2 linked regions of the Rattus norvegicus genome follow. The protein of the gene in region 2 interacts with the protein of the main gene of each other region in a pairwise test. Links are inferred from orthologs where the notes say so. Each region holds a gene or a part of one and is shown on either strand. Other genes may lie near its edges.

Region 1 (2,234 bases), about 30 Mb from region 2:
AAGAAAACAAATAATTTGTAAGGTAGACGTGCTCTGCTATTTCTGATAGCGAGATGTATTTTTTCCTGGAATGAATCTAACTAGGACAACTTGAAATGCTATAATGTTCTCCATCCCTGACCAGGGTGTGCGCTCTAGTTGTCTGTCTCTCCTCCTGCAAGTTCTAATTTCCTTCACTTTTGTATCTCCTAGTACTTACCTCACAGTAGAAGCTCCATGATTTTGTTGAATGAGTTTCTGACTGTGGGTCTGTGACTCTGTTGAAGTGTGGGCAGTTTCAGCTGTGCAGGTGAGGGTGAGGGTGCAAGAAAAAGGTGTGACTGACTGTTCAGGCCTAGGAGATTTCATCTGGGCCAACAGGTGACAGCAGGAAACCTCCCTACTTCACCCACAGAAGCGGATGCAGCAGATCATGTCCCACTGCTTCCTGGCTGTCAAGTCCAAGCTGGAGTGCAAGCTGGGTTACTTTGACCTCATTGGCTGTGATTTCCTGATTGATGAAAACTTCAAGGTGCTGTCTTGGGAAGAGGAGGTCTGGTAGGCAGGTGTACGGAGGTAGGGCCCTTCTGTGCGTTGAGCACATAAGGGTACCCAGTGGGTGGACTCAGCCCTAGATTTGGATGTATGTGTGAAGCTGGTCTCCTACTGGAACTGAGCAGCTCTCAAGATCAGTCTTAATTCCTTGAGCAAACGAGGGGAACAAAACCATGGAAAGATACAATCCGCCCAGAATCCCATGGCTTAATCGGGACCAGAGTCCCCACCTTCTTAACGGCCAACTGGACAGTAGGTGGGTAGAGAATGAGGCTGACCACTGTCTGCCACAGGTGTGGCTGCTGGAGATGAACTCCAACCCTGCCCTACATACCAATTGTGAAGTCCTGAAGGAGGTGATTCCTGGAGTGGTTATGGAGACCTTGGGTGAGCTCTGGGCAGTCCCACACCACAATTTCCCATATACTTTTCCCCAGTTCTGGGTACCCCATCCTATTTGCCTCCAAGTTCAGACTCAAGTCTGGCTTTCCAGCACTCCATAATCTGCATAGCAGCCAAACCCTCTGCTCATACTTCTGTCACTTCACCCATCTACATCCAATCCCTCATGAACCCCTCTCCTCCTCCCTTGTTTCCAGACATGCTGAGAGGTTGCTACCTCCAAATTGCCCTCTCACCATTCACCTTGTCGCTCCCCTGCCTTCCCACAGACCTGGCGCTTGAGACCTGCCAAAAGAGTTTGCACAGTCAGAAGATGCTGCCTCTGCAGTCACAGCGTCGCTTTGTGCTCCTTTACAATGGCGAGACTACAGACTTGTGGCCGCGCTTGGGGAGCTCACGCCCACCTATCCGCTTGCCTTATGCTAACTCTAACCATGCCCGGTCCACCTGCGAAATCTCATCCTCTTCGCTTACCTCAACACGTGTCACTATCGCAGACCGGCCTGCGGCACGCAAGTCGATGTCTTCCAGAACAGCTCCCATTTGCGCCTCCCGCAAATCGCGGCTGTCTGACTCGGGCGGTGTCTCCATAGAGGAGTCTGAGACCTCTGTTTGTTCTGGGCTCCCGGAAGGCAGCAGGGACGCAGCCCGGGAACCCTCCCTGGGGCCAACCGAGGAAGAGCGAGAGGAGGAACAGAGGAGCACGAGCCATCGAGGCTCCTAGCAGCCACAAGCATCCAGTGGCCTTGCGCTTTGCCATGCCCTCTCCAGGACCTATAAAAGCTACTTTGTGACAAATGCGACCTCCAGAAACCGATCCCATATGGGTGCCCCAAGCTCTTCTGTCCCCACTTCTCTCTTTGCTCCTTGATTGTCCTTAGAGGAAGGAGAGGGGAGCAGGCAGAATGGGAATGAGTTCTTCAGGAAGGGAAAAACTCCCCTGATCTCTTTTTCCTTCTCTGGGGCAGCCCACCAAACCCTGGGTCCCCGTTTGTGGCTCTCTGTTACTCATTCTGTAGGAACCTCCTAAAACTCCATGGCCTTCTTGACCTCTGCAGTCTAGCACTAGGACCCACCCACTGTTCTATGGAATCCCTAGGAAAGGTCTTGGATGCCCATGGAACTCTGGAAGGCCCCACCTTACCCCATTACTATTCTGGTGCAGAGCGGGAGTTTGTCCTTATCCTGCCCAAGACCTATCTTCTGGACTTTCAGACACTTTGTGGAACACTGTTTACAGCCAAAGCCCCCACTTCCCTACAAAGGCCTGGAGTCTGTCAGGCATGAGAGGCACAAAG
Region 2 (4,291 bases):
CTGGTTCACAACCAAAGCAGGACACACCAAAGCTTTGGACAGACCAAAGCTGAAGTCTTCAAAGGGGAGAGTCCTCAGGTAGGGGTTATGCTAAAGGATGAAGAGAACCTCCTCTTCCCTCTCCTTCTCTCCCCCCACCGTCATTCAGGTCTTGGTCTCCTCTGGCCCAGCCTCTGAGGATCGCCTGGGCTGTTAGCCACAACAGCAAATACAGGTGGTCTGTGGCCGTGAGTCCACTTGGGAGCCCTTCCTTCCGGGCTTGGCGGCAGCAGCTACCTTCCCAGGTCCAGGCTAGCCCTGGATCCACCCCCTCAGAGCCAGTCACCACAATGAGATGAGGCACCCCAAATAGGGCATGGGTGTGCCTTCTGCTTCCTTCCCAGAATCTCCCAATCCCTTAATCTATGTCTCTAATGAGGACAGAGTGAAGGGCACCACCAAGGCCCACTTGTCTTTTCCCCAGTCCCCCCCACCCCACCCCCATCCCTGGCAAGGCTGGAGGACTAGAAAGGTGAGCTGGGAGATGGTCTGTATTCCTGGTAGCAGGTAGGGGGTGGGAGAGTGAGGGGGGTGAGGAGGTGAAGGGGGTGGAGGAGTAGGGGGTTAGGAGGGGGGTAGATTAGAGGAGACAGTGGGTCTTCCAGATGACCCCAATCTGCTATTTCCACTAACACACATATCTCCATGCCTGACTGAACACACACACACACACACACACACACACACACACACACACACACACACACACACCAGTGAACTTCCGAGAGCAGAGTGGCAGCATATCTTTCTGTACGGTGTCCAGTGTATAACAGCTTGCTTGGGTCACAAAATATAAACCCGACTTGAAATCCTGTGACCTTGGGTACACAGTTTACATGCCCCGAGACTGTCCATCTAGTTAAATGAGATACTATTACCTCCCTCTCCTAAGACAGCTGTTGAGCTTAAATGTGACAATCCCCAGAACAGTGTCTGGCCAGTCATAAGTCTGTAGCCTTATGTAAGTAAACGGTAGTCACTTGTATTTTTACTACAAGCCCCTCAACTCCTACTGGGGTCAGACGGTGGGTCTCAGGCAGGCCTGAAGCGGGAATTGGCCTGGGATGTGACCTCAGGAGTCTCAGGGAACCACTGAGACCAGTCAGCAGGACACAGGAGGAGGGGGAACTTTAAAGACCTTACAGGTGGGTAGTTCCCGGGGGCACACACTTTGCTCGATGTCTTGTTATTTACACAATACATACCCCACGGTCACTACAAGCCGCACACCAAAAGGCAGGACAGAGTGTATAGCTCGTTTAGAGCTCAGCACAAGACACTAGGGGCAGGCTAGGGGCATGACCGAGACTGTTCAGCAATTGGAGCACAAGTGACCTATCCCTTAGTGGAGAGCTCTGCCTGGAAATGCTATGATAGTGGTGGAAGGGGCAGTCATGGGGGGAGGGGAGGACGGGGCTGGCTCTCCTCCCCAGCTGTCAACCTGCCATTGGAAGACACCCAGAAGTCTTTCCAATCACCCATGCCAACTGCTCAACCCTTTGGTATACCCCCCTTCCCCGCCTCCCGCTCCCCCACATATCCCAAGTCCACGAGGACCCTGGCCAGACCCCACAGCTGTGACTCAGACTTAGAGAAGACCCCTCCCCCTTGACAAGAGACTTAGGGGAGAAATTAGAGCCCCCTCTAACCCTCCCTCTCCCTGTCCCCCAACCAGGCACCAATCCCAAACTCTCCACCGCCCCTCTTGCCCACAGGGCCTGGAAGTCAAGCAGTTTAGGGAGAAGGGGATAAGGGAGCGGATCCAGCAGCTGCTCTGAGGACAGGAGAGGAACATTTCATTCACCCCAGAGTCCCCTAGGGCTGAGGCAGAGCGTCCAAGATTTGAGTTTAAAAATAAGTTGGCGCTGTCTTAGAGGCTGTACGGGGCTCTCTTTCTTCAGCTCAGCGTTACAGCCTCAGGTCCTCTGCCTCCTGGGGGATGGGCTGGCTAAGACTCAATTTCCCCCTAGCTTTGCCTCCACCCTTTCAGGCCTGGGGCAGCTGTCAGTGAATACACTAGGTGTCTCTCCTCAGTGAACTCTAGCCTCCACTCCATACCTCTCGGTACCCTTGGGCTGCTGTCTTTGTGTTGGGGTGAAGGTGTTCCTGTATCTCTGAAACTGTGTCCTAGTGGGGCCTCCACTCTGAGGATCTCTGTCCCTGTGCATCCAAGTCTTGGTCTCTCAGCGTCTCAGTGTCTCTCACCTGAGAGTCTCTTTAGGCCTCAGGGAGGCAGATTTAGCCATAGTCTAACAAGCTCCAGCCTCGGGGCCTTCCAAGGCCCTGGGAAGGGCGCTAGCAATGAGTTCCCTGGGGTCATACATTTTGCTTCTTAAATTGCTCCACAGAACCCGGGTCCCCGGCAGCGCCTCGAGAAGTTTATCCGGCCATTCTCAGCCACCATTGGTGTGGTCCGGGTAGCCTCCTGGGGCGCGCGCCCTTCCCTGTTCTACCAGACTCCTTAAAAGCCTCAGTTTCTCCAACCCCGCTACCTCTAAAGCTTTTCTAGTTCAAACTTGGTCCCAATCCCCTGCAACTCGGGCGGTCCCTGCCCGACCGGGAGGCGCGGAGCGGTGGGGTCCGTGCAGGCGCGCGGGATCCCGTGTTCGAGATGCCCCAGCAGAGGACAGGGGTGGGGGCCCGGGCGCCAACCCTGGTCCGAACGCAGCGCGGAAACAGGGGCTGGAAGCTGGGTGGGTGGGGGGACTCTCACCTCGAAGCGGGCGCGGGAGCTTGGGCGCGAGCGGCGTGGGTGGGGCGGGAGCCGATCTCCCGGCGGCTCCTACCTGCGGGCCGGGCCGAGGGGGCCGAGAGAGCCGCGGCGAGGTAGCCTGCTGCGACAGACTGTGTGGGCGAGTGGGCGCGCGGCCCTAAGCCTCCGAGGAAGTGAGCCGGCCCGCCCCGCCCGGACCCCGCCCCCGGGCCCCCAACCCGCCCGCGGGGGCAAGACCCCGCCCCCTCCTGCCTGCCGCGAGCCCAGCCCAGGCGAATCTGGCGCTCTGACCTTCTCGACCACTCCTTGCTCGCCCCCTGCAGCCTGACCCGCCCTCTACGCCCCTTCGACCCCGGGGGATTTCTGGAAGCGATCCCAGGCCAGGGATACGGGGCTTCCAGGACTTAGCTAGAGTCCATCTGGGGACCAGACCCCCTCCTCTTTTCCCTCTAGCTCATCCCCAGATGTTACACTAAACCTTAGCTTGGGAAGAGGCCTTAATCCAGCCTGCTGGAGGCGTGGTTTTGATTCTGACTTACCAGTGGAGATCAAGGGTTTGTGTTTGTTTTTTTTTTTTGTTTTTTTTTGTTTTTTCTAAAAACTTGGGTTAAAGAGAGAGAGCCTCTATCCTCCTCAATTTCAAAGGATTTTTATTCTATAAGCGAGTGGCGAAAGCCCAGGCAACAGCCTCCCCATCTTCAGCTGTGTCCTGGCACTGAGGTTTCAATAGTGCCCAGGAATAATTTTGACCTTTCAGGCTCAGGGAGACCCTAATCCTAGGTCCCATTGGCTTTGGGTTTCTTGAGAGGGTGTGTGAACAATGTGAGGGGTTGGGTTGGTGTAGGCAGGGGTGGTTAAGAAGAGAGGGAACTTGTGTAGTTTCTGACCCTCCAGCTTCTACCCTGGTTCGGGAAGGGAGGACTGGCGCCTGCCAGGGACATGAGGCCCATCCAGGTCCTTGAGGCCAACCCCCCTGGGATCCTCAGGCTTGTCACTAGAAATAAATAGCCTTGATCTGGAGGGCGGGGGTGGGGTGGGGGAAGCTCTGTTGTGCTGTTTGCAAAACAAGAGACAACAAACTAACCCTGGTAATAACCTTTGCATCTCCGTGATGATTCAGATGCCCAGAGAGGCTTCCCTGATCCAAGGCTGCATCCAGCCAAGGTAGTTTGTGGGGATTAAGAGCCTTCAAGGCTGGTGAGGATCGTTCCATAACATGGGTCTGGTTCCTAGGTCCTAAAACAATTACCAGACCAGGTTTCCTTTTAAAGTTAAAGAATTGCTTCAATGTTGTTGATTTTTTTTTTTCCCAGAGCTGGGGACCGAACCCAGGGCCTTGTGCTTGCTAGGCAAACGCTCTACCACTGAGCTAAATCCCCAACCACAATGCTGTTGATTCTTGTTTGTTTTTTGTTTTTGGAGCTGGGGACCGAACCCAGGGCCTTGCGCTTCCTAGGCAAGCGCTCTACCACTGAGCTAAATCCCCAACCCCAATGCTGTTGATTCTTAAATTGCAAATGCCACGAGAGCAGAGGTTGG

What was found.
Region 1: the proteins of Fhl3 (region 2) and Ttll10 interact in binary tests that used the Homo sapiens proteins (3 or more experiments, as listed by UniProt). The two-hybrid records come from large-scale screens. The link is inferred for Rattus norvegicus from reciprocal best matches to the Homo sapiens genes FHL3 and TTLL10.

The regions. Positions count from the first base shown.
Region 1 is NC_086023.1:171,911,871-171,914,104, reverse strand, and holds the end of Ttll10 (protein polyglycylase TTLL10), read left to right. Parts: intron 1-394; coding exon 395-511; intron 512-827; coding exon 828-921; intron 922-1,205; coding exon 1,206-1,660; 3' UTR 1,661-1,734; downstream 1,735-2,234. UniProt on the Homo sapiens protein: Inactive polyglycylase.
Region 2 is NC_086023.1:142,237,299-142,241,589, reverse strand, and holds the start of Fhl3 (four and a half LIM domains protein 3), read right to left. Parts: upstream 2,801-4,291; 5' UTR 2,753-2,800; intron 1-2,752. UniProt on the Homo sapiens protein: Recruited by SOX15 to FOXK1 promoters where it acts as a transcriptional coactivator of FOXK1.